7 linked regions of the Oryzias latipes genome follow. Each later gene encodes a partner of the first gene's protein in a complex. Links are inferred from orthologs where the notes say so. Each region holds a gene or a part of one and is shown in the gene's direction. Other genes may lie near its edges. The genes, in order: nup93, nup98, cetn3, nup214, nup107, RANBP2-like and GRIP domain-containing protein 8 and nup62.

Region 1 (3,500 bases):
GAAAAGGACAGCCAGGGAGAAAACATGTTCATGCGGTGCGTCAGTGAACTTGTTATCGAGAGTCGAGAGGTGAGTGGACCACGGTTTCCTACCAAGGCTTGGAGAAATATGTCTGCGCCAATAAATCAGTGCTGTTTGACCCAGTCAGTAGAGCTGGATTTGATATCAAACTCCCTCCGCTGATGGAAAAAAGAGACGGTTTTAGTGTCGCCCATTGGCTATATATGAGAACTGGACAGAGTGAGTGTGATTTCACATATAGAAAATGGTTTAGGCTACGTTCACACACACGTCACACACATGTCGCGCGTTCTTGTACGTGCGTTTAGCCCATGGCGTTTACACTTAATGAGTAGGGAGGGGCAACCTGTTCTTTATCGTTTTTTTTTTTACTGTTTGGAAGAGATTTGATGCAAAATGTGGAAGCGGTGCAAATGCCGCGAGGCCTTTTTCTTTCTCAGCTCCCTTCTGATATGTGAAAGACTTTCTCCAGCCGGAAAAAACATACAAAACACAATTATTAATTTCTCCTTCATGATCAATTTTCAAATGTGAATTTAAAGGGACGCCATCCATACGTCAATACCAAACCCAAGTCTCTGATTGGTCAGTTTGGCGCATATATGAGCATTTACATTGACTTTTCATTCAAGTTGGTTGCTTTAACGCGTGTTGCCAACGTAGCTTCACTTCCCGCCACAACCAAATGAAGTTAATTCATTTGACTTTTTCTTTTGGCGATGTGGACATTGCTGCCATGTTGGAGCCCGACAACCTCAGTAAGCATTTGGTCTGAGTCATTGTCTCCATGGCAACCACTCTGCCTCTCAGCTTTGAGCGCGTTTGAAGTCCACACCGCTACCTCTTGAAAGCAGGCTAAACGAAATCTGTCAGACGTTTCAAACGCTGGCCTTGGGGCCCAGCAGGCTCCACCCATTTCTGTCGATCTGATTGGTCAGTTTATAACTTAAATAACTTGAAGTACAGAAAAAATAAAGGCAGATTAGCAAGAAAATGTAAAAAAAAAAGGAATGGATTTTCTGACCAATAGAATGACTGAGGAACAGCTGTTGATTGATGGGATTTTGGCTTCTTGGAGCCACTTCCTGTTTGGAACGCCATGGGGGAGGAGTCACTCAGTCCAGCTGTCATATAAAGTCAGTGGTGTTGCTGCACCAGAAGAGACATTTTAACTTCAAATTGGATCAACATCCTGATTTGGGCATTGTACCTTAAAATGAAGAATTTTTGTGTTACTAGTCACAACCTATTTGGTGTGCAGACTTTTGAACTATCTTAGTGAAGCGTTTTTGAATTTTCTGTCAGAAAATTTGACTTGTGAAACACGAAAAGTGCGACTGAGATGTTGCTGCTTAATCTCACAGCACAGATGAACCGTTGTGACTGATTTTTTTTTTTTTACTTTTCCTCTCAGTTTGACATGCTGCTGGGGAGATTAGAGAAGGACGGCAGTAGGAAGGTAAGAAGATTGAGTCAATCTCCCCTCCTCATTTATTTAATCTAGCTCTTTCTATTTGCCCCACACCTTCTCTCCATCTCTTTTCCTTCATCCGCTTCCAGATTTTTCTTTCTTTCCTCTCCTCTTTGTTCCCGCCCGGCACGATGTTCAGTCAGAAGTCGTCTCCTACACATTCAGCGCCTCACATCCAGAGAAAGCTGGTCACCTTTCAAGGATCAGAAGCCTCAAAATCTGCATTTAAACCTACATTTTTTCTCTTTACATTTCTCACGGCGCCTGCAGCACTCTCTCTGCGTGACGTCTGAAGCTGCTTTTGTTTCCGCACATTTTTCACGGCTGTGTTTTATCCCACACTCTATTCTGGGTACTAAACACATCCAGAGTGCGGCTCTGAACGCGTCTCACGCGCGGTTTGATTGAAGGCTTTGTTGGATTAACCGTCGAGCTCCTGGCAAGTTTGAAAATGTGTGCCGGCGTGTTTTGATGTCCATTCAGGAGAAGATTACGTTTAATTTCCTTCCTATAGATGCTCCACATACAGAACATACGAGGCGGACAAAAAAATGGAGATGGCTGCGTTCTGCAGGAGGCATCAGCGTGAACTCCATGACTCTTTCAACACACGTCTTTTTACCCATGTTGATTAATTACTGATAAGAAATTCTAATTAACTCCATGTATGATGTCACCTTCTTCTTCTTCTTCTTCTTCTTCCCTCTTTCCCACGAATCTCACAAAAGCAAACATTGTGCCTGACCAAGCATTAAAACTCATGTACTACCTGTTTTTATTTTAATTTATTAGATTTTTATGATTTGATCACACAAAATGTTCTTTTTTATATCAATACTATTATATTTTATTGAATAATAAAAAGCATTCACATCATAGATAATTTAAATCAGAAAAATAATATGCTTAGTTTGAGTTTATTTGTTTATTTATGAACAACGGATTTAAAAAAAGTTTAGAATAAATTATATTTGAAGAAAAATATCAATTTATAATTTCAAAAAGGATCAATTAAGATCTATCATTTTACAATTATTTTAATTCCAGCCTTATTTAATATGATCAGCATCTACGGTGTATTATGTTGGGAAAACTGACAGAAGCCAGAATTACTACATAAAATTAAGTAAAATAATAAAACATTTTTTGTGTGTCTGGTTTAATTTTCTTTAAATTTAAATCTTTATGTAGAAACGAATTAAGAATCTGAGGGGTCATAGAAGAAATGAGAAAAAAATTAATTCAAATTAAATGCAATTCAGCAATTTTTCCATTAAGTTAGAAAATGATAGTCATATTCAGTCACATAAATGTCTTCATGTGGTTAAAAACTATTATGTAACAACATTTTAGTGAGATCAAATCAAATGAAACTTTATTTATAAAGACATTTTCATACACATGCAACAAAACCACAAACGGATGTAAAAACAAACAAGGATTTATGGATCAACTGACTGTTTTGAGAATTCACAGAGTTAACAGGTGGAGAAGGAAGCGGAGCCGTCTGAGCTAACAGGACAAAACTGGATTTTGATTCACACTCCAAACCTCCGGCTCAGCTTCTCCTCTCACTCCTCTGATCCCCTCTCCAGCCCGGCGTGATCGACAAGTTTGCCGGAGACACCAGAGCGATCATCAGTAAAGTGGCCTTAGAGGCTGAGAACAAAGGCCTGTTCGAGGAGGCGGTCAAACTCTACGAGCTGGCCAAGGTGAGCAGAACTGCTGGTCTTTGCTGCTCTCCGCCGAGCCGGTGGTCCTGAGTTCCATTTGTGCCCCCGCAGAACCCAGACAAGGTGCTGGAGCTGATGAACAGGCTGCTGAGTCCGGTCATTGCCCAGGTTAGCGCGCCTCAGTCCAACAAGGAGAGGCTCAAGAACACCGCCGTGGCCATCGCAGAGAGGTGAGGGGACGCCGCAGGTGCGCGCCAACAGTGACGCTACGGATGCTAAAAATGACCCTCCCTGTGTTTCTGCTGCAGGTACCGCTGTCAGGGGATCGCAGGGGA
Region 2 (3,283 bases), on another chromosome or scaffold:
GGAAACTGTCGAAATGACAAGCAAAAATGCAGAAACTCCTTTATGCAGAATAGATTTAGCTATTTTTCTCGTTTGAACTGAGAAGTCTTCAGCTGTGTTCACCTCGCCCTCAGCATTGCGTGATCAAGCCTCCACCTCCAAAGAAAAGTCTATGTAAGCGCACGTAAATGCGCGTTTCAGCGTTCCAATCTCTTGTGTTCATGCTTAAGACCGTTTTCAGCCTTTACATACAAAACCATCGAACAAACGTTAAAAATATAACCATATATGACCAACCAGGGTTTCAAATTTGGTTGATGTCCTTTTTAATTCACAGAAGAGGAGAAATTAATAATTGTGGTTTGTGGTTGCTCCGAATTCTGATGCCAAGTCTTTCAGATATGTAAGAAAGAAAAAGCCTGGAGCAAGACTGACCAGATTTGCCCACTTTTTGCAACAAGCCTCTTCCAACTGTAGGTGGCAACATGGGCTAGTAATGGGCTACATTTGGGTCACACGCCACGTAGCTTTAACCTGAAAATAACAGCAGGAGAAAACACCAAACTGTGGAAACATTAAATAGTCTTTTCTGGAGGGCGCCGGTTCCCACAGAGCGCTGAAGAGAGCAAAGACATCTTTGTGACTCCAAATCCTGATGTTTGGTTTCAGTTTGACAGAAAGTCCGTACAAGGTGGTTCTTGAGCAGCTGGTGGGTCTAGATCCTCTTCAGGGTAAGACCAGTGAGGACGACGAGGACCAGACCGTGCTGCAACGCCCCCTGGAAATCAGCCTGAAGTACAGCACTGTCAGTGTTCCAGACGGGTCCGACTGTCCTCTAGTGAAGCCACGGCCCGGTGTGGACGCGCTGCACGCTTACGCCGAGTGGATCACAGAGCTGGTGGAGAAAGAAGGCGGCGCAGAGCGTGAGTGACAATGTCACAGCTGTAGAAAGGCTCCGCCTCCTACAATGCTCCATCTGACCCTCTGTCCCCCTGCAGCCCTCCTGGGTCACTGGGCTGAGGTCTGGACTCTGTGTGAGGCCCTGTGGGGCCGCCTGGGCCCTGCAGACGTGGAAGCTGATGCTGAGATGCCCAGCCAGTATGAGCAGCAACTTGCCAGGAGGAGGAGCTTCTCCGCCTGGCTGTCGTCCGGCGCCACCCACAGGGTGGAGGAGGAGGTGTCTGTGGCAGGAAAGGGTTGCCACGCAGACGCCATCTTCAGTTACCTGACAGGAAACCGAATCAGCGAGGCATGTCGACTCGCCCAGAAAGAAGGTGAGTTCAGCAGAACCTGCAGAGCCAGAACCACAGACGAACCGCCGCCAGAAAGAGCACTAAGGAATAGACATCGTCCGATGTGGTTTTTGAGGGTCAATGCTGATTATTATTAGTAGTAGAGCACAGTTTTGTTCGCTTCTTTCTCAGTACGGGGAGGGCAGTCTTTCATTTTTCAACTTATGATTGACAGTGGTAAAAGACATTATGGTCAAAGGCACAGGCCTGGTCCTCATCACTACAGGAGAGTTTTCTGGGTTTCTTTAGACGACCTATGAACCATCTGCACAGCTTCTCCACACCAGAAAACCTTTCCCCTCCGCTGTGTTTGAGGGATCCTTCAAACTAGAAATGCAATGATTACCTTTCCCAACTATAGGGGAAACCTCTATTTTGGTTTTGTGTGGTTTCAATGCAGTTTATCCAAAGCAACAAAAAAAAACTAAAAATAAAGCTTTATTATGCAAGGGAAAAAAAGAAGAAAAACCTCTGTGGTAAAACTAAGCCTGGGGGAATGTAATGGGACGAAAAATAAATCCTTATGTTTAGCAAAACTGTTATACGTAAAAATACTCCCTCCACCACCATTCAGGGCAGGGGTGTAATGTGTTTTGGTTTTAGATCCTGAGCCAAAATAATTGGTTCAAAATCAGCTCGTCTGATTTATAAAAATAAAATAAAAGAAATCCTGATGCCGTCATATGTCAAAATAACAAATATCGGCCTGTCCGATGATTGGTTGAGTCCTAAGGAGGTCTGGATGGTTTTGACTTGGTCAAGTCCAGCTTTGCTTGAACCTGTTGTCGTTATGGTTTTAGACCATAATGAGGAGGCTTCACGCTCCAGACTAACCGTAACCCTTCATAGCTGGACCAGCAGGAGAACACGGGGCTTACGCCTGTTTGTTTGCAGGAGACCACCGTCTGTCCCTGCTGCTTTCTCAGGCCGCCGGCTCTCAGATGTGCCGCGACCTGCTGGGACTGCAGCTCGCCGACTGGAGCCGCACTCATACGGACTGCTACCTGACGGAGGAACGGCTTCGCATCTACGCTCTGCTCGCCGGAAAACCGGTACGCGCTCCGCCTTTGGAAAACCCTGCAGCCCAGACTCTGGTCTTCTGAGCGCAGATTCTCCCTGCAGGTGTGGCAGTCCTCGGACTCTGTGGTGAACGTGTGCTCACAGCTCGACTGGAAGCGCTGCGTGGCTCTCCACCTCTGGTACATGCTGCCCCCCACGGCGTCCGTGGCCGACGCCCTCGCCAAGTACGAAGCTGCCTTCCAGGTGAGTTGCTGCTGACCTGCAACGTTTCCGTTCCTCCCGCAGGTCAACTCACTCTGCTGTTCCTGCAGGGTTCAGCCGAGGGGGGGAAGTACTCCTGCGCCCCCCTCCCCCCCTACTTGGAGGCAAAACATTTTGATGAGGAGGAGGAGGAGGAGGAGGAAGAGTCTAATCGTCCATTGTACGATCTGTGCTTCCACCTGCTGAAGCTCTACAGCGACAGGTAAGCCTCACCTGACTGGAGTCTGAGTCCCATTCACCCTCTAACCCCCCCACCCCCACAGACACTACGGCCTGCAGCAGCTGCTGGAGCCTCTGACCGTTACCTGGCAGCGCCTGGATTTCCGGCTCAGCTGGCACCTGTGGGGCGTCCTGCAGGCGCTGAACTTCAGTCACCTGAGCGCCGCGCGGCAGGGACTCCTCCACGCCAGCTACGCCGCACAGCTGGAGAGCGCCGGCCTCTGGCACATGGCCGTCTACATCCTGCTGCACATCCCCGACCACGCGTAGGTGTCCGACCGCACGTGCACGCAAACTGGAAACGCAGCCGCTGCAGTGGCTTTTGTAGGAAGCTCTGACTAAACGCTCTGCGTCCTCAGTGAGCGCGAGCGCGCCGTCAGGCACGTGCTGAGCCAGCACTGCCCCCTGGAGGAGTCGGACCAGTCCCTGCAGAGGGAACGCTTCCTGACCGAGCAGCTGCTGGTCCCAGAGCCGTGGATCCACCTGGCAAAGGCCACCCGAGCCCATCGGCA
Region 3 (4,182 bases), on another chromosome or scaffold:
TTCTCAGACTGAGTTGGGGGTGGGGTGGGGGGTAAAAACAGGAGGGCTGGCTGGAAATCAAACACAGATCCTCCTTCAGCTGAACAGAAAGGAGAATGTTCTGCCTCCAGAATCCTCCTCCAGTCAATCATCGCAGTGAAACTTCAGAGGCTCCAGTAGGAAATTCATCAGGAGGAGTTTTTTTTATGCTGTTATTTTCATTCCGTCACAAACTACTGCCTGTTGTTGTTGTTACCACCTGTTTTTTTGTATTTTTTTCTGACTTAGACTCTGCTGAGCTTGAATCTCTCCTGAGGCGACATGGTTTTTCACTCAGGCGTTATCTAGGATGACACATGTGACACAGGAAACGCCCCGACGTGAGCCGAGACCGGGCGGCACCTTCATCCCGGAGCACCATGGGAAATCCCTGATAAAACTGAGACAAAGCCCAAATCAGGGGTGGGGGCACAAAGACCCTCGGGAAATGCTCCAAGCATTTCCAGAGGGTAGAAACCTCCGGCAGGATTCCAGAGAGAAGGACGACTGTTCAACAAGCCAGGACCATTATGGGTTACATGCCTTTAATGTTGACAGACAGACATCAGACATAACAGGACCGTTGACCAATGTTTATGAGGAAAACTTGTCATCAGTTCAGAGTAACAAGTTACAACAAATAAAGGGTGTGCTGAACTGTTGGAGGACAAAGTCTAATATTTAGGTGTTTTTAACATGTTCTTGATGATGGAGGACCATGTATGAAGAAAATTAAGCGCAAATTTTCATTTGTTGTGAATCAGGAGCAGACTAAAAAAATGCAGTTTAAAAAAGAAAAAAATGTGCTGGGCGGTGCCACAAGCTCCGTGCTGCGCTCCATTCCGATGCATTCACTGTCAGACAAATAGATCCATAAACATCTCTGTTTTCCTGGTCTGAGCTGGAGTCTGAACTGGACGAATGGACGGATCTGATGAGGCTGCCATTTTTGTTGCACCAGTAATGTTGGGGGGGTTGGGGGGGGGGCTGTTAGATAGCAGGAAAGAGTGTAAACAAAGGAATCATGGGAAATTAGACAGGCTTACTGTGTGCCAATGGCCACAACTCAGAGGAGAACCTCTGATGAACTCCTGTGGATCTGCAGAAACTGTCCTGTAAAACTGTCCACAGGAAGGGAAATAGATCAAAAGATGGCCGGAATGTGTCTTAAAGTTATCTGGATTATTCTTTTGTGAATCACAAACTGATTTTCTATTTAAAGTTTTTCTACATTTTATTTGACTTTGAAAAGGATTCCAGCGTCAGTATTAGCAGATGTAGCAATGACAGACGACAGCAGGGGGCGCTGGTGTCCCGCTTGGGTTCAGTTTGCTCCCGAAGAAAAAAAAACAGAGCGCCACTAAGCGAGCGCCTTGCTGTTGCCTAGAGACCACCGACCAATGAGGACCTCGGATCTGAGCGCGGACACGCGGGGTTTGTTTTTGCTCGTTGAGCGACAGTAGCCGTTCCTTGGAAGTGAAATCTTCGCGTTTGGATCTGCAATTCGATCGCAATGAGTCTGTCTCTGAGGTGAGGATCGCAGCTTTTACGGTGACGTCATTTCCGGTTCTCTCGCCTTGTTAGCCGACGTTAGCATGTCGCCCGTTTGCCTCAAACATTCAGAGCTTGTTGACCGGAGACTCGGTCAAAGGGCTGCGTCGGTCCAAACGGTCCAAATGTGTGTCTGTCAAAGGGTTCGGTTCGGTGGAGCTGTCTCTGAATCAATCTGAGCTTGGCTGAAGACGTTGCACCGAAATTCTGTGACCTCTCAGGTTCTGTCCTCGGTAGATAATATTTCACCTGATTTGGACTTTCCGGGACCAAAAGCTCGTTTCGGGGAATGAGTTCTTTTATTTTGAAATAACGTTTGTTTTTCCACCATATTTGGTCAAAGGTTCTCCAAATAAACCTGTTGTGACGTCAATGTGACAGAAAAATATCAGAAATAGGATTCTGTGGTTTGTGGTCAAATACTACGATAAGACTAAATGGGTCTGGGTTCTTATTGGCTCAAATCTGATCGGAGATCTCTGAGTTGGTTGAAGCAGGTTTCTCTCTCGGCTCAGAGTTTGCCGTCAGTCTTCTCCTGCCTTCATGTCTGTTCCTGACTGATGAAGATGTTCAAACTCTTGTTTTTTTGTCTTCGTCCATCCTTCACGGTTGAACGGCGAGGTTCAAGCTCTGGTTTGTGGTCACAGGGAGAATCTGTGACTCTGGTTTTGCTCCGCAGAACCGACCAGGCCGACAAAAACAAGCCTAATAAGAGGAGGGAGCTCACCGAGGAGCAGAAGCACGAGGTCAAGGAGGCCTTCGACCTGTTTGACACGGACAAGGACCGACAGATCGATTATCACGAGCTGAAGGTGAGCGGCGGCGGATCGGATGGAAACCGTGGAAACGAGACCAAAGGTGTCATCTGTCACGGTCCCACCAGGTGGCGATGCGCGCCCTGGGCTTTGAAGTGAAGAAGATGGACGTCCTGAAGATCCTGAAGGACTACGACAGAGACGGGAACAGGAAGATCACCTTTGAGGACTTCAGTGAAGTAGGTGAGTCACTGGCCTCCTCTTCCTCAGAGCCAGGCGACGAGGAGCCGCCCTGAAACGCGTCTGCCCGCAGTGACGGACCGCATCCTGGAGCGGGACCCGAAGGAGGAGGTCCTGAAGGCCTTCAAGCTGTTCGACGACGACGAGTCCGGGAGGATCAGCCTGAGGAACCTGAGGAGGGTCGCCCGAGAGCTCGGCGAGGACATCAACGACGAAGAGCTGCGCAGCATGATCGACGAGTTCGACACCGACAGAGACGGAGAGAGTAAGTCTGCATTCGCTCAGGTTAAAGCCACGCCCCCTTCACCGGATGACACGTGTTCTGTCGTTGCCGCGGAGATGAGGGTCAACAGCCTGTACTTATGTAGCTCTTATGCAGGTCTAACGCGTTTTAAGGTCACTCTGAAGGCGGCAGAGCTGCCATGACAACAGAGGGGCAAGGTGGGGGTTCAGTCTCTCGCTCAAGGTCACTTCAACGCATAAACCTGCGACCTCCTGATCGTAGGTGGACCGCTCTTCTCCCGGTGCGGCTCCTGCTTTAGAAATCCCATCGCTCTCTGACCTCCATGGCAGGAAGGTTCTGGCGTTCCCGCTCCGAGGTCGCCGGTGATTGGGCGGAGAGCGCGGCTCCTCCCCTCACGGTTTCCTCAGCTGACCTGTTCCAGAGTTTTAGCGACCCGAAGGCCCGTACACACCGGGACGAATATTCGCCAGGCGTTATTCGCCAGCGTTTTTCTCCACGTTTTTTGTGTTCACACCCAGGCGATTTTCGCTGACGATGAGCCGAGCGAACATGCAATTTCATTCCCTGACATTAGATGGCGCTTAATGTAAACAGAAATACTCCTGTACACAAGGTGGCGCTGCGCAACTTTACGCTTCTTAAAGTCGCTTTTCACTCAGAAGAAGAGAGCAAGTATTTACACGCTTGTCAGAATCAAACAAAGAAAACATTAATATTTCAAGCATCAGTAGCTCCAACTGGTGCTTGGTTCGGGGATATTTTAGAATGTCCGTCATTATTGCTTCGCGGCTGTGTAGACGCTACTTGGCGTCTATCTTCTTCGCTGGTATGTGTGCTCAGCAAGGCAGTTTTGTGTTTGAGCGCCCCCAAGTTGTGTTTTACTGTAACTTCAGAAGCTCCAGACACGTGAGCAAAAGCGCCATTCTCATTGGTCGAATAGATTTCGATGCGACGCGTCGAAAAAAAAAAAACGAACCCGAGGCGTTTTTTTTTTTTGACGCTTTAACGCATGGCGTTTTTTCGCGTCGGTGTGCACACTCTCGTTGGTGCCCTTTGTTTAGTCACGAGGCGTTTCGCCGACGAAATTCGTCCCGGTGTGAACAGGCCTTGAGAGTCTGAGCAGACCGGTGTTTCCTCAGTAAACCAGGAGGAGTTCCTCGCCATCATGACCGCAGACTCCTGAGGAGGAGCCCGGAACGCCTTCTGAGCTGGACCCAGACGTTTCTCCACAGAGCCAGTGGACGCCCCCTCAGAGCCCGTGAGTCTGAATCCCGCTGGACATGAGAAGACTTTCCAACAGTAAAAACTGGACTGACTTTCTGTAAAGATCAAGATTTAAGTCGATCTTGACTTTTGAACTGTTTGTGTGAGTGT
Region 4 (3,500 bases), on another chromosome or scaffold:
TTGTTCCGTAAATAAGTTTCTAAAGACTTAATTGTTTTCCAGCCAACTTGTCGCGCTCGGCCTTCCTGGCCCCTAAAAACCTTGAGGACTTGGATGATGTGAGCTCAACGTCCTCCTTATCGCAGTCTATAGAGCTTCTCCCATCTCACTTGGAGTTGGAGGAAGAGGAAGAACTACAGCCCCTGCAGCCTTCACCTATGAATTCCATGACCCAATCACTTCCCACCCCACGTCACCCCACTGTTGTTCGAACGCCCTCCATTCAGCCAGGCTTTGGAGCTATACAGTCCACCCCTCTAACAAAGATGCACCCTGTTCCTGGTATGGGCTTTGTGCTAAGCCCCATTATCAACCCTGGTAAGTAAATCAAACATGTTTGGCCTTTTTCCAACCTATCAAGCTTATAATATATTTGAAATGAAATTTCCTCATAGCACAGCCAAAAGAATACTTTAAAAAACACTGTTTCATTGAAAATGTTTTATTTTAGTTCCTACAAATAGGATTAACCTCAGCGGGGCTGAAAGTACTGCGCTTGCCACAAAGACGGTAAAGCATGGAGCACCACCTGCAGAGCGGAGCATCCCTGTGACCATCTCTGCCCAGCAGGCTGCTGCCACCGCGGCTCTGCGGAGACAAATGGCCAATCAGAAGACGGGTAGGAGGAACAATCAGCTCAAAAATTCACTTCTAAGTAGATTTTTCCCTTCAATAATGTGCACACAAGTCAAGTTTTTGTTGCTTTGCAACATCTAAACCACAAGGGGGAGACAAATCTCAACATATAAAAAAGAAAAATTCCCATCAATAAAACCTCAGGAAACACTAAATAATGGTCCTGAAGGAAAACTTACTGAACCTAAATTGGCCTTCTGATACTCAAGGCTACAACAATAAAAACTCACATTTTACTCCTAAATGCTTCTATTTTAATTTTTGTATTTTTCTTCTTTTTTTCCAGCTGTTGTCAACACTTCTTTGACAGAGTCCACCTTAAAAACTGTCCCTCAAGTAGTGAATGTTCAGGAGCTTAAGGACAAAGGGGCACCTATGCCAGTGTCCTCTATGGTCAGGTAAAAAAAAAATCAAACCCTGAACTGTTTTTAGAAGAGGGGAAAGTCACTAACTTCACTTTTTTTATTTGTGTCATGTGTCATGAAAAGTAGCCAATTGCAATTATGATTATCTATCAACACCAAGAATATTTTAAAAAAGATTTAAAAACATCCTGCTTTTTTAGTAAAAAAAATAAAACTGTCAAAAGATGGAGTGATTGCTATTGAATGCTGAGGGTTTCTGTCTGCTTAACTTACCTTAAAGAAAGCTTCTTTTTTTCAAGAGACAATAATACAATACAATACAATAATACACCACATAATACAAAAACAATAATAAAAAAAACCATCATATTATTTTATCAATTAAAAAAAACAATGTTTAATATTAGAAAAACTGTTATACCACTAAACATTAGATTGTCTCACACACCTGTTTTTTTTTGGGGGGGTATTTTGAAAACTGCATGTTTAGCTATTTATCTTTAATGCTAGATTTTTATAAACATGTTATTTTTTAAGATGGACACAAATACACTAAAATAATGCAATATCTATAAATAACATTAAGATGAAGAACAAGGCCATATTTTGATTAAAAAGTCTTGTGGCCAGCCAATTTTTTAAATTAAATAAACATGAACTTCATGTTCAGTCTCATATTTTCTTTGTGTTTAATAACTGTCCCACCCGTCTTGTTGATCTTCTGCAGCTCCTCGGCGCCAGATCCCTCAGTCCAGGGCTTCACAGCAGTTTCTAGCAGCCAAGTCAAACGAGTGAGTTGGATCTTTCTATCACTCTGCAGGCGGTTGCCAGTCAACTTTTTATTTACAAATCTTTTGTTTACAGTTGTGGTATTGTGACTGAAGTCACTCTTGTCTGTATGGATGATTTTTGGATGAATTTTCAGACATGCACTTTTTCATTGTAGTGTCGCACATTTTACTCAATTTCCTATTTAAAAATGGCGTCATGTTTTACATAGAAAAAGATTAGATAAGACATATTAAAATTATATATTTCCTCATAATTTTAAATAACATTCAACATGTGAAATTTCACGAACTGCTGACAGTTTGGCATCTGAAGACAGGCCTTCACTGCACAGGCGAGAAATACCTCATGTCCCTCCTGAATTTGTGCTACAATCTGCTGCAGTCTGACAGGAGAGCCACCTCATTCGAGTCCTGTTCCAGGACGAGTTCAAGTTCGTAAATGTGGACGCAAAAGGACACTGTGTGAATGTTTTGTTTTTTTCCTTTCCACCTGCTGAAAAGTGCTGACTTTGTGATTACGAGTTTGAATCTGCAGCGGTAAATGTGTGTCTTTGCAGAACACACCGGGTCTGCAAAAGATACCCACAGAGAATGCATCTATTCCACAGACAGGCTTTGTCTTTGGTAAGTGTTGTAAGATAAAATCTGTTTTGATGCAAGAGACCTAACATCTGCACCAATTTCTTTGTGGTTACACATAAACACATGACCCTAATTTTTAGTTAGGACTTTGTAAAAGCAAATCCGATTTTTAGCAGTTTTCTTACTCATGTTATGAATGTTTTTGTCCTCAAGGCCAACCATCCAAAACAGACCTTTCCGGGGGTCCACCTAGTTCACTTGAGCAAAACACCAGCAAGGCCTTCTCATTCACCTCAGGGTGAGTTAACACAAATGGCATTAAAAGAAAAAGGTGATGATTAGTCAGGGGAGAAAGTTTAGTGACTGAAGCTTTATGTGATTCATATCTCCATTAAAAATATTTGTAAAAATTATAGACAACTTTCTTCCAAAATCGTTGTCGTAGCTTGAGGATAAATAAACATGCTTAGCTCACATCAATAAAATCGTTTATTTATTTTGCTTGTTTTAAAACTTTTTTTGAAATAACTTTTTACCAGAGTTTGCACTTTGTAGACAGTCCCTTGGCAGCCGCCCCACTGCCGTCTCTATCAGCAGTATAGAGAGAGCTGTTCTCTTAAAAAAAAAAAATCTGATATTTTTTCTGTTGAAATGACTTTGTGGGTCATTGTTTGCATTAAGTTAAACCAATAAACCTGCGTTGGGCTCTTCCGGCGCGGCGGGGGGCTGCTTTCCTGGCTGGGCTGGGGCGGCGCTCTCTTTCCCTCCGCGCCTCCCTGCTCTCTGGCTCTGGGGGCCTTGCGGCGGTCCTGCTGGCCCTGGCCTGGGTGGCGGTCTTGGTCGCCCGGGGGGCGGTTGTTCCCTGCCTGTTCCCGTGTGGCGCTGGGGGAATTCCGGCTGCCGCTGCTGCTGCGGCGGGGGTATGGGTGTGGGGGTGGCTGGGCGCTCCTCCTCCTTCTTTTCACATTCCACCATCCATTTTAGAAGAACATAAACACTCACCTGAGCACAGGTGTTAGCTCACCTTTGCACTAATAGTTTGCATGATTGAATGAATGAAAGATTTCACACTAGTTGGTTTAAAGGC
Region 5 (4,247 bases), on another chromosome or scaffold:
TTACAATTCTATAGGAGCTTGACTTGCTGAATGTAAATATTATTTAATTTAAACAAAATTAGGCGAATTTCTGTTGTTAGAAAAACGTTTCTTCTTCTGACCTGCTTTAAGAAAGAAAAGTCCGGTTCAAATGGGATGTTCTAGCTTCTTTTTAAACCAGAACCTGCGTCATTGATCAAACAAATGCAGAAGAACGCGGTTCTTTTATTCTGAAATCCCGCACCAGAGTCTGATCTGCGGGGTCCAGGTTCAAATCTGCGACCATCTGATGAATGACCTCTCTGTGCGGCCGTCGCCTCCAATCCTGCCACGCAGTGGGAAAAGTTTACCTGGGGTCTCCATCTTCCCCCGGGTCAAACAGACCCTCTGGCAGCGCTGGGGATCCGCCGGCGGGGGTCGATCCGGCCTCTTAGGTGACCAGGACCCGCTGCTGACCGTGAGAATCTCCTTTTCCGGTTCTCTGAACGGCGGAGATCTCCTTTTAACCGGACCACGAAGCGTCCGGTGTTCCTGCTTTAGCTGAGCTGCGTGAATCGATCACGCAACAGCGGCAGCTAACGGAGCGGAGGGCAGAGCACAAAGATGGTCTATTAGGAAAGACGTCTCACTCCGACCACAGCCGGGAATTGACAAGGGAAAAAACTCCTAATACATCCTTTTAAAAGCGTTTATCCGACACAATTCAACTTCTATGTAGGGAACATAAAGTGTATCTTAATGTATAAAAATATTTTTCAACATGTTTTTTTAAACGGAATTTTCAAATAATACACAATCTTTGAAATCAGACGTATTGAAACATTTTCCTTCCTGACATTACAATGTTCACTCTTGTTAAAAAAGACCCTTTTTTCTAAAAACTTCCTGTTTATTTAATATCAAAATTAGGCACAACTTTAAAGTCATTTAAAAAAAATGCAGGACAACTATTTGATTTGATTTAGATCAAATGCATCATATCATATGGTTAATGTGTTCTTTGTCATTCTGTTCTCTGGATGGAAGTTCAAATAACATCAGCTATTAAAATACAAGTTTAAACAGTTTGGAGTGTTTAAGAAAACCTTTTGTAACATAAAATCTGTACAACACACAAGGAACTCTGTCTTTCAGCAGCTGAACAGGCCAAAGAAATGAATGACTGAATAATCACTTAAAATGTAAATATGACACAATTACACAAATGTGAACTTTTTTAATCAAATAGTGGATCTGAATATCTATTTAACTAAATGAATAAATCTAAAAAACACAAAAAGGCAAATTGATACACAAAATTACAAATAATAGGATTACTGAAAGAAAAGTGAAAATTAAAAGATATGTATATGCTTAATTAATATTTAAATTAATATTTATATTGTCTTTTTTATTTCGTCCTCTCAAAAATAGATGTAATCTAATGGTGAACTCTAGGGGGCAGCAGTCAGCTGACAGGCCTGACAGATTTACCTTAAATTCAAAGGCAGATTCGTGAGAAGAGGCGAAGAAGTAAAAGACCAGAGAAGAAGAAAACATATCGGAGCGGGAATCGGCTCCAGCATGGACTGGTAAAACATTTTAAATTTTTGTGTCATTAATGTGACCAGCTGTGAAACACTGATACGTTCACATTTGTACGGTTCGATCGGTCAGTTTTTGCGTTTTTGTTGTCTCCGGGAAACGTTACAAGAGTCAGATTAGCAAACGATGCTAGCATCAAGCTAATCAGTCAGCTGAATGTCATGACGTCTGTTTAGTCAAAAATAATGAATGATAGGTTTAAAGACCCACTTAGGTTAAATTCTGATCTATTTTCAAAGCGTTCCCAGTGTTTTTATTTTTTTGATTGTGCTGTTTTTTTAGCCAAAAGACAAACACTTGTCGTTCTTGGACACAGTTATACTAGTAGTAGTATGTTCTTCTGCAGAGCGGCAGGAGTTAATTAAACTCCCTCAACTCAGGTGTACTAATGATTAGTACACCTGAGTTACACCTAACCCCACCCCCTTCCCGTCACCCATATTTGAGATCTCTCAGTTGTACAGTTTTGATCCAGATTCCAGCTCAGACGTGGAAAACAAAAACGTTCATGGATCAATTTTTGTCGGCAAATGGATTAAATTCAATTCAATTCAATTTTAAGGGGAAAACTCCCATAAAAACGGATTCCGGAAAAACGAAGAAACCTCAGGGGTGTCCACATGAAGGAGGGATCCTCCCCCAGGACGGACAGGCGATTTACCAGAACTCTTAGAGAAGAATTTACTTATCTAAATCTACAACTACACATTTAAAGTCCAGCAGACGAGCTTCATCCAGCCGTGGTTGGGGGGACAGTCAAAGGCGCGAGTCGAGTCAGAGGCAGGATCCACAGCCAGGTGTAGGAGCAGGAGCAAAGGCGAGGTAGACGGTCAGCAATTGGAGCACGGATGATCCAACTGGAGTCTGGAAGCACTCCCACTCCCCAGGAGGGGAGAGGAAAAGAGTGACAATACATGAATCACACTGCACCAAACAGAGGCATGGAGAACTAAATGATGAATAATGATCAAGAATAGAGGAGAGGAAGGGTAGAAGTAGAAGAGAAAAGAGGACAGAACCCCAGTGCACCATAGTTACCCCAGCTTCAACTTCTAGCAGCCTTTTAAAAGAAAGTTATTAAGTTTAATTTAAACAAATTAACATTAAGTTAAATAATCTCTGAATACTAACTAGTCTGACAATAAGCCTGTCCAAAGAGGAATGTTTTAAGTCTAACTTTGACTGTAGAAACTGAGTCGGCCTCTCTTCCATGAGCTGGGAGTTTATTCCATAAGACAGGGGCTTGGTGGCTAAACGCTCTACCTCCAACCGTACTTTTACTAATTCTAGGAACCACAAGCAGTCCTGCGTTTTGCGAACGAAGTGTTCTGATTGGGTGGTAAGGAACTATGAGATCTTTGATTTAGGACGGGGCCATTCCATGTAAGGCCTTATAGGTTAACAGGAGGATCTTGAACTTGATTCTATAATCAACTGGGAGCCAATGGAGCGAAACCAACACAGGAGTGATGTGATCTCTTGCATTCTCTTGCATTGGATGCATCAGAATGGAACTTGTGGCCCCAAACGGCATATTTGCTACATGATATTTATTATCTTTTTCATTTGGCGCTTTTTCGTCTGTTCCTGATTCACATTGAAATGAAACTAGGAGAAAATTGGCTTTTCAAGTAAGATAATGTATGTTTCTGTTTTGATCTCTCTGACCTCCAGGGGTCAGAATGAGCTTCCGTCTCCGGTGGTTCGAGAGGAGGAGGTGACGGTCGCAGCCAGGAGGAGGAAGAAAGTGGCTTGTATCCTCCAGCTTCAGTAGCTGTGTGTGTTTCTGTGCGTCTGTGTGTACAGTTATATGTCGGGACAGTTTCTTTGTTTCTCCTGACTCTTGGCCTCAGTCCCGTCACCCAGTGGTGGCAGCCCCATCGCTTCTGCTGCAACACCAGCCCGCCCCCACCTGATCAACACTCCTGCCTCGTTGTTCAGGCAGGCCGGTGAGATGCTCACATTCATGTCAGATCTGAGGCTTTGAGCTATTCCTACCTCATGTCTCTGCCTCTCAGTCACCCCCAGGGTTCCAGCCACTTCTTCTCTTTTGGTTCCTGGAGGTCGAACGCCTCGATTCATGCACACGCCCAGAAACGCGCTCAGCAGTCTGGTGAGACCCTGATTAATGTGCAGGGACAGCCGGGATCAGCTGCAGTCTGTAACTCAAACCCGTCCATTGCGTATCTAGAATTTGGACGACAGCGATTGGACCAACAGCTTTTACACCTCGCCCGTGTCTGGACTGGAGAACACCAGCTTCTTCAAAGACGATGCTGCCAACCTGAGCTCAGCCCTGCTCAAGGAGGACGATCCAGGAGATGCAGGTGAGGAAAACAAACCACTTTCATGCCTTCACATCACACGCCAATCGGGTGTCAAATTCGCTGCTCGAAGCTTGTCCTAAAATGTGTTTTTAAACCTGATGTGAAATTATGATGTGATGACAGTAAAAGACTGAATAATTGATGAGAAACGAAAAAGCCTCATTGTTGTTTGAGCAGCATCTCCAGGTACATTTCCCTCTAAAGAAGAAAGCGTATCATTTTTTAATAACCAACCTCTCCTGACTTTGCTTTCTCTGCAGCAGCTGCAAGTCTTTTCCCAGAATTCCTTGCCTCCTTTCTGAAGCACTCTTCCTCTGCGGTGTTTGACCTGTTGGAGGATTATCAGAGCCTCTGCCA
Region 6 (3,500 bases), on another chromosome or scaffold:
CCCCTCGAGCCCCTCTTCATGCACTTCTCTTCTAAAAATATTCAGGTTCATAACCTTTTAATACCCCCCCCCCCCCCCCCCAAATGAATTGGGTTATGCTGCCTTACAAATCCATCTTTCTCCCCTCAACGTTTTGTTCTGTTTTCAGATTTCTTCAGTGAGAAGTTATGAGGAAGAAGCTCAGATAGCGCACGCTGTTCTGCTTGACATAGAAGGAAGAACAGATGAAGCAATCACCATCTTGGAGAAAATCAACAACTTGTCATCTGCCTGGCATTTAGCACAGGTAAACCCAGACTGAAACCAAACTGCCTCTCTATACAGTGATGCTCTCAGCGGCTCAATGTTTGAAAAACTGCAGAAATTAGGAAGGATCTTCTGTCATTGAAAAAGTTTTTTTCTTTTTTTTTGTACATATCTTGTGTGAACTTCACAACTATTAAAGTGGTTATGAGCCAGGTTTTACTACTTTTATTTTAGACTTCCTTGTAAGGTCTCAGTGGTTTGATCTGAAGAATAACTGTTGAATGTGAAAATATTCTTTTAAAACACAATTTTGATTGATTCTCCTGCAGATCCATCAGCGACTGTCAGAAGAGGCCAGCAATGGTGTGGAAGAGACTCAAGACCGCTGTATAACTTCTCTGAGAAAATACAGAACATATCTGCTACGGATCTACAATGCCAATGCAAACGACATCGACAAGGTCGGTCTCACTTATGACGAAGAAAGTTCATAATTGGTAGATTGCTCTTGGTAAATACGCAGTTTAGACTTCTTCAAATGTATTTGTTTGTAATCATGTATTTTGTGAATTCAGCTCCCTGTATCCATGGAGGAAGTTGTCGACCTCCTGAATGATGTAAACCAACAGCTGGGGGAGAGTGGGGAGGATGAGGAGGATGAGAAGGAGTTTGAGCGTCAAATAGGACCAGATCACTCCAGTCCCGCTCATCTCCAGGAAACCAGCGCCACCATTTCTCACATCAAGTTCTCCACTCCATCTCCTAACAAGAGCATCGTATCTCCTTCCAAACGTTTGGTAAGTGCACTGCTTGTTTGTTTTTAACGAGAAAATAATAATAAAAGCTGCATCGTGAGTCTTTGTTTTCTCTTGTTGTTCAGATTTCTCCGAAGGCACCACCTCATTGGGTCGAAGACCAAAAAAATCTCCTGCAGATGTTGTGCCAGAAAGTTGAAGCTCTGAAGGTCAGAATTTGGAGTTAATTGACATTCTTAGAAACAATTTCTGTGTTTTCGGTAGTTTACTCATTGGATCTGTGTTTTGCAGAATGAGGTTCAGGATCTAAAACTCAACGCATCAGTGGCTGCAGGTTCTCCTCCTAAGTTGTATGGAGACAGCTACAGGGCTGAGGGTTTTCAGGAACCATTTACGCCAGTCCAGTCTTATCACGGAGCCCCCCTAACAGGTCAGCATACAATCTAGAACAGTGCTCCCCAACCCCTGGGCCGTCGACTGGTACCGGTCCGTGGGACAGTACCGGGGTGCAGAGGGAAAAAAAGCACCGCCAACATTTTTTCTGTTTTATTTTTTAATCTGATACTGAAGGAAGTTTTATTTTGGGAAAACTACTGGATTATCTCCACATCTGACTCATTTTAGTTTATTTTGCAAAAAAATCAAATGTGAGGAAATAGAAGAAGAGCCTTTGACTTCATAGAAAAAAGAAACTGCAGTTAACAGACAAAAACCAGGAGTCTTTACTCCAAATATGGATTAACAGTGATGAAAGTCTTCCGGGAATTCCCGGAAATCCGGGTTTTTGAGCAAACCGAACGTACTTTCCGGGAAATAAAGACCTGATCTCTACGGACAAATCGCTTTCCGGATCAAAAAATGGTCTGAAATCAGCTAATTTTAGCTTTATTTTCTATATTTCTCCGCAAATCGCTTCCTCTATGGTCGTGGCCATCTCTCGTCTTCCCGGCCTAATTGACCAATGACGGGACGTTTTAGTTGCTTTCGGATGCGTCGACGGGTCTGATTGGCTCTGTCTGCACCACGTGGTCAGCGTGACTCGCTTCCCTAGAGACCAAAACTGGCGGACCCACGCTAAATTTTCACAAACACATCTGAAGAGTTTGCGATCAAATTTGTGTTAAAATAATGGCAGGCATCGTCATTATTGAGCGCGGTCACGACCTCAGTTGTGAGAAGACGATAAAAAACAAATTGAAGTGGTCTTGGCTGGAAAAAAAAGATTTTTAAGGTAGTGTAGGTCAAATACTTTTTTGTGTAAAATAATCTCAAAACCACATTTTGAAATAATTTCAATTTTAGTTTTGAGTTTCAGTTTTTATTTTGAATACATTTCTCTATCTAATTTATTTGTATTTCCTAATTACCATGATTTAGTTCAGTATAGTTGACATTAGTTATAAGTATTTGATGGTTTGGACCCGCACTCCCTTAAAAAATGATGTTTACAATGTTTAGCTTAGTTTGTATGTTTGTTTTGATATTTCCCAGATTACTTAGTATTGGTGTTAAAGAATTGATGTATTATGTTATAGAATTATAGTTTAAAGCAGATCCCATATTTTGATGTAGTTATAGTTTGAGAAAACAGTGCAAGTGGATGTTGTACATCAGTCATTTCTAAAGCAGAAATAATGTATAAATAACTGAGGTATTTTCATAGAATATAATAGTTACTGGTGTTCTTTTTGCCATTTGGGGCTTTGATGTTACTATATTTTAGCAATTGTATGTTTTGCAGCTTTAAGGAAAAGCATAGATTGTAGGATTGTGTTACTTTGAGCAATTTTCCAAATTCTTTTTTGGGACCAGCAAGTCCTTAATGGAGAGTCAAACTAGGGGTTTGAATGACAAATCATGATGCTCCAATTAGTCTTAGTTTCTTGATAAAGAAGTGAATAACTAGTTGCCAGAATGCACCAGAATGCATCTAAGACCACGTATTTTTCCAAAATTTCGCTCTGTGCCCGCCATATCGCTCAAAGAAAAGTTCAGGGATTTTTTCCTTGCCTGACTTTCATCACTGATTAATATTCATTATGATGGTTCTCACACATAATAATGCATAATATTCAGCAACTAACTAAATACCAGTTTCAGTCTTTTTTGTGTGTGTATTTACAGTTGGGCAAAAAAGTATATTGAGGTATGCCTATGATTAAAATGACAGGCCTCTCATCTTTTTAAGTGGGAGAACTTGGACAGTTGGTGGCTGACAAAATACGTTTTTTGTCCCACTGTAGCAATTGTGCCTTAAAAGTTGGACGAGGCTGCAAAACAGTTGTTTTATACTCAAAACAAAAGTTAAGGGAAACTGGAAGCTAAGAAAAAGAATCGGACACCCTCTTTAGCCTTGTGCAGTCCAGTCTGTGATTGTCTGACATTAAACCGGTCCGTAGCTTGAAAAAGGTTGGGGACCATGGCTCTAGACTATTGTACATTCTATTCCTTTGTTTACATACTATTAATCTTTGATTTCTATTTGCTTTAGTGGCTACC
Region 7 (3,854 bases), on another chromosome or scaffold:
CATGGAGGACTTTCAAAAATACTTTAAAGTATCCTTTAAAATTCCAACCATAAGCTAGAATACACACACATAGAGAGAGGGGGAGTAAATTACAACTATATTTAAAGCATCTAAAATTCATTTTACCAAAATCCAGAAACTGCTTCATGGATAAAGGCGAAGGAGAAAACTTTGAGTAATAGTCAATGTCCTTCCCGACCGCCACGCTCTTCCTCAGGAACCTTAAAAGCCTCATGTTGCTCTCCGGCCTCGACTTGATCAGATTTCAAACACACACGACACGTCCGAATTCTTATGGCGCACGCGGCCACAACAATAAATATGTGACGCTTGTTGACACACTAGCTTGTTGGCTAAACTCAGCAGTTCGCCCGCACGTTTGCGATTATCGACCGTGTTTCCACTTGGACTGAATTCCTGCTGCAGGCATGGTCACAGACGGACTAAAGCATCATCCCTCACTTCGGACGTCCTCTGTAAAATTCAGTCAAAAGTCAACACGGCAAACGCACCCACTCCGCAGCTGAGCTAGCAAGTTCAAAGAGTTGATTCGACGCCGAGAGAACAACGCAACTATTTTGCAGTAGTCTTTATAAAATAAAGATGACAACTTTTATGCAATTTAAATAGATTATTCTTCTGCTTTTATTTTATGGTGGTTGGAATACAACTTTTGGGATGTTCGCCACCTACAAATTGATCACTTTTGGTTCCTAACCCGCATATCAGATGGGTTAGATTAGACCGCTAAAAACACCACTAATGTAGAAAGTAATACATATTTGCGTGACAAATAAAATATATGTTGTTTTACTTTAAAGCGTTTAACAACAAAACGAATTTATATAATTTTAATTATTTAGCAAAATGCAAGAGGAATTATTAACATGTAGTTCATATCTACGACACTAAAAAGTGCGTTCTGTGCATCTCTTGTCCTCTATTAACTCTTTGACTGGTTGAAATGCCGTCGCTCTGATCCCCAGTGCTTGTCTGTAAGGTTAAAAAATAAAAACCAATCAAATGTCAGCATTTTTCATTTCGGCACAGTAATTTGGTGTTAAGGATGTCAATCTAAACTAGAGGGTGGGGCTTTTTCTCTGACAGACAGAATTGAGGGCAAAATTGCATGTTGAAAGTGGCGTCACTTCCTTTAGCTACAACAGAAAGTATGCTCAAAGAAACGTTTGGTCAGTTACCCACGTTTTTTTTAAAGATGCTTCGCTAGTATTATTATATTTACCGGCACAGTGAAAGAATTAGTTATTAGACTATGATTTAAAATATCCGTGGCTAACGTAAGAAGTCCTCTCATTAGACGGTTTTTCTTCGGTGAAGCTAGTTGAACCGGCAGCTCGTGCTAGCGACCCGCCAAAAACTGTGGTGAAAGATACCATTTTGTTCGTAAGCTGTAAAGTCATTTTGTTTTTATCAGAGGAAGAACATGAGTGGCGGATTCAACTTCGGGCAACCTTCGGGTTTTGCCTTCGGAGCGCAGAAGACCACAGCGGCCGCTCCGGCCCCGGGCTTCAGTTTAACGAACTCCACGGCTGCGGCTTCGGGAACGGGCTTCTCTTTTGGCACTCCGACTCAGAGTCAGACCAACGCCAACCCGACCGGTGGCTTCAGTTTTGGCGCACCGGCTAAGAACTCTTCCGCCGGCGGCACCGGCTTCTCCTTTGGCACACCCAACGCCGCCGCCGCCACCGGCACGTTCGGCCTGGCCACGACTACCCAAACCACCGCCGCCACTGGGTTGACCTTAGGCTCCTCGGCCGCTCCAGCTGCGGGGTCCGGCTTCACCCTGGGCGGGATGTTGTCTTCGCAGACGAACAGCGCCGCTCCAGCGGGAGGGGGCTTCAACTTTGGGGCTACCTCCCAGGCCCCACCCGCAGCGACAGTTGCACCTACAACAACCACCGCATCAGGTGGCATGGCTTTCGGAGGGTTCAGCTTCGGAGCGCCGAAAGTCCAGGTGACCTCAGCTGCAAGCACAACCATCGCAGCGGGGGGAGGAGGCTTCAGCTTCGGGACCCCTGCCCCCTCCACCCTCACCCAGCCAGCCCCAGCAGCTGCAGCTCCAGCAGCTCCAACCCAGGGTGGAGGGTTTAACTTCGGAATTAAACCCTCATCAACACCAGCTCCTCCCGCATCCACCCAGTCAGCCCCCACCCAGTCAGCCCCCACCCTAGGCCTGTCTCTGTTTGCGTCACCTATCATCACAACCTCTGCAGCAGCGCCAACTTCAGGTTTTACTTTGGGTGCAGCTCCAGCGTTGTCAACCAGCATGGCAGCATCCACAGCTGCAGGTACAGCTCCATCCTTCATGCTCAAGCCTCTGGGGTCCGTTGCCAGCACAGCAGCAAACACCGGCTCCACCACCACCACAACAACTGCAGCTGTCACAGCTAATGCCACCGCAGGCTTCACGCTGGGATTCAAACCTCCGACCATCTCAAGCTCCACAACAGCCTCCACAGCAACAGCCGTTACAACCACCACCACGGCCCCTCCGGTGATGACCTACGCCCAGCTGGAGGGTCTCATAAACAAGTGGAGTCTTGAACTTCAGGACCAAGAGAGGCATTTCTTACAGCAGGCAACTCAGGTCAACGCTTGGGACAGAATGCTGGTGGAGAACGGGGAAAAGATCACGTCTCTGCATAAGGAGATGGAGAAGGTGAAGCTGGACCAGAGAAGGCTCAACCAGGAGCTCGATTTCATTCTGTCCCAGCAGAAGGAGCTGGAGGACTTGCTTTGCCCTCTGGAAGAGACTGTGAAGGAGCAGAGCGGAACCATCTACATGCAGAACGCAGACGAGGAACGCGAAAGAACATACAAGCTCGCTGAGAACGTGGACGCCCAGCTGAAGAGGATGTCACAGGACCTGAAGGAGATCATTGAGCACCTGAACACATCCAGCGGGCCGGCAGACACCAGTGATCCAGTAAGATCTGAGCCTTTTTTTTTTAAATCATATTTCTCATAAAATCAAGTCTTCTGCTGTTTTAATCGCCTTCCTTTCTTTTTGAATCCTTTAGCTTCAGCAGATTTGCAAGATCCTGAATGCTCACATGGATTCGCTGCAGTGGATCGACCAGAACTCTGTCCTGCTGCACAGAAGAGTGGAGGAAGTGTCCAAACAGTGCGACACCCAGCGCAAAGAGCAGGAGAAGACCTTTCGTCTAACCTTTGACTGATTTGTTTTTTGGCTCAGTGCTTATTTTTCCCATTTTGCTTTGGATTTTCTCCTTTATTATACTTCTATTGTGTGTTGCAAAACTATTTTAAATGCAATCATCTTTATAATTGTATCTACCTGAATAGAATGATTAAAAACAAATTTTGAACTTTTTTGTGTTTTCACATCCTAATTTTACCTGTTTTTTATCTATATTTAGGATTGAAAAACATCTAATGACAAGATTTGTTTCTTGTTCTAAGACTGATGTTACCCCTTGTGCTATCTTAGATGACCCCACCCTTACATTGACGTGTTCTCCCTACCATGACAAAGGTGGAAAGATTTCATGTAATCCATGGACACCAGTGAAGATCACAAATCATTGAAGAAAAAAGGTTCAGCGCACTGTCTAGTGGGTCTAGATGACCCCACTCCCAATGTTAAAGTGCCTAGGATAGCACAAGGGTTAATACTTGCAAGGTGGATTTTCAATTAGGATGTTTTTGCTATGACACTCGTTTGAAGGGGAATTGACTTCAGCATTTGTTTGAGTTTTGTCAAAACAATGTTTTAAACTTAATTTACGGAGAAGCTGAAGATGTTTTTTTTTTTATATAGAAAAGGAAGATTCATTAGAAATAATTCTTTAAATTGTTTTATATATGACAAA

The links.
Region 2: nup93 (region 1) and nup98 share a complex: the UniProt entries of both Homo sapiens proteins name them as parts of the nuclear pore complex. The link is inferred for Oryzias latipes from reciprocal best matches to the Homo sapiens genes NUP93 and NUP98.
Region 3: nup93 (region 1) and cetn3 share a complex: the UniProt entries of both Homo sapiens proteins name them as parts of the nuclear pore complex. The link is inferred for Oryzias latipes from reciprocal best matches to the Homo sapiens genes NUP93 and CETN3.
Region 4: nup93 (region 1) and nup214 share a complex: the UniProt entries of both Homo sapiens proteins name them as parts of the nuclear pore complex. The link is inferred for Oryzias latipes from reciprocal best matches to the Homo sapiens genes NUP93 and NUP214.
Region 5: nup93 (region 1) and nup107 share a complex: the UniProt entries of both Homo sapiens proteins name them as parts of the nuclear pore complex. The link is inferred for Oryzias latipes from reciprocal best matches to the Homo sapiens genes NUP93 and NUP107.
Region 6: nup93 (region 1) and RANBP2-like and GRIP domain-containing protein 8 share a complex: the UniProt entries of both Homo sapiens proteins name them as parts of the nuclear pore complex. The link is inferred for Oryzias latipes from reciprocal best matches to the Homo sapiens genes NUP93 and RANBP2.
Region 7: nup93 (region 1) and nup62 share a complex: the UniProt entries of both Homo sapiens proteins name them as parts of the p62 complex. The link is inferred for Oryzias latipes from reciprocal best matches to the Homo sapiens genes NUP93 and NUP62.

Annotation. Positions count from the first base shown.
Region 1 is NC_019864.2:28,049,515-28,053,014, forward strand, and holds part of nup93 (nuclear pore complex protein Nup93), read left to right. Parts: coding exon 1-69; intron 70-1,435; coding exon 1,436-1,480; intron 1,481-3,087; coding exon 3,088-3,204; intron 3,205-3,276; coding exon 3,277-3,395; intron 3,396-3,473; coding exon 3,474-3,500. UniProt on the Homo sapiens protein: Plays a role in the nuclear pore complex (NPC) assembly and/or maintenance. May anchor nucleoporins, but not NUP153 and TPR, to the NPC. During renal development, regulates podocyte migration and proliferation through SMAD4 signaling.
Region 2 is NC_019872.2:23,868,842-23,872,124, reverse strand, and holds part of nup98 (nuclear pore complex protein Nup98-Nup96), read left to right. Parts: intron 1-648; coding exon 649-902; intron 903-977; coding exon 978-1,253; intron 1,254-2,165; coding exon 2,166-2,323; intron 2,324-2,393; coding exon 2,394-2,534; intron 2,535-2,602; coding exon 2,603-2,754; intron 2,755-2,815; coding exon 2,816-3,037; intron 3,038-3,130; coding exon 3,131-3,283. UniProt on the Homo sapiens protein: Plays a role in the nuclear pore complex (NPC) assembly and/or maintenance. NUP98 and NUP96 are involved in the bidirectional transport across the NPC. May anchor NUP153 and TPR to the NPC.
Region 3 is NC_019870.2:1,965,938-1,970,119, forward strand, and holds the start of cetn3 (centrin-3), read left to right. Parts: upstream 1-1,382; 5' UTR 1,383-1,531; coding exon 1,532-1,548; intron 1,549-2,248; coding exon 2,249-2,381; intron 2,382-2,452; coding exon 2,453-2,567; intron 2,568-2,637; coding exon 2,638-2,829; intron 2,830-3,947; coding exon 3,948-3,991; 3' UTR 3,992-4,182. UniProt on the Homo sapiens protein: Plays a fundamental role in microtubule-organizing center structure and function. As a component of the TREX-2 complex, involved in the export of mRNAs to the cytoplasm through the nuclear pores.
Region 4 is NC_019870.2:10,687,387-10,690,886, reverse strand, and holds part of nup214 (nuclear pore complex protein Nup214), read left to right. Parts: intron 1-42; coding exon 43-357; intron 358-490; coding exon 491-658; intron 659-961; coding exon 962-1,073; intron 1,074-1,767; coding exon 1,768-1,831; intron 1,832-2,388; coding exon 2,389-2,455; intron 2,456-2,626; coding exon 2,627-2,711; intron 2,712-3,500. UniProt on the Homo sapiens protein: Part of the nuclear pore complex. Has a critical role in nucleocytoplasmic transport.
Region 5 is NC_019881.2:22,230,650-22,234,896, reverse strand, and holds the start of nup107 (nuclear pore complex protein Nup107), read left to right. Parts: upstream 1-1,447; 5' UTR 1,448-1,542; coding exon 1,543-1,550; intron 1,551-3,237; coding exon 3,238-3,317; intron 3,318-3,416; coding exon 3,417-3,512; intron 3,513-3,581; coding exon 3,582-3,676; intron 3,677-3,754; coding exon 3,755-3,890; intron 3,891-4,150; coding exon 4,151-4,247. UniProt on the Homo sapiens protein: Plays a role in the nuclear pore complex (NPC) assembly and/or maintenance. Required for the assembly of peripheral proteins into the NPC. May anchor NUP62 to the NPC. Involved in nephrogenesis.
Region 6 is NC_019879.2:17,115,947-17,119,446, reverse strand, and holds part of RANBP2-like and GRIP domain-containing protein 8, read left to right. Parts: coding exon 1-45; intron 46-148; coding exon 149-286; intron 287-575; coding exon 576-707; intron 708-821; coding exon 822-1,043; intron 1,044-1,126; coding exon 1,127-1,210; intron 1,211-1,292; coding exon 1,293-1,431; intron 1,432-3,492; coding exon 3,493-3,500. UniProt on the Homo sapiens protein: E3 SUMO-protein ligase which facilitates SUMO1 and SUMO2 conjugation by UBE2I. Involved in transport factor (Ran-GTP, karyopherin)-mediated protein import via the F-G repeat-containing domain which acts as a docking site for substrates.
Region 7 is NC_019879.2:22,073,856-22,077,709, reverse strand, and holds nup62 (nuclear pore glycoprotein p62), read left to right. Parts: upstream 1-1,128; 5' UTR 1,129-1,444; coding exon 1,445-2,947; intron 2,948-3,041; coding exon 3,042-3,200; 3' UTR 3,201-3,354; downstream 3,355-3,854. Other genes in the region: pdk1 (pyruvate dehydrogenase (acetyl-transferring) kinase isozyme 1, mitochondrial), read right to left, coding at 127-235. UniProt on the Homo sapiens protein: Essential component of the nuclear pore complex. The N-terminal is probably involved in nucleocytoplasmic transport.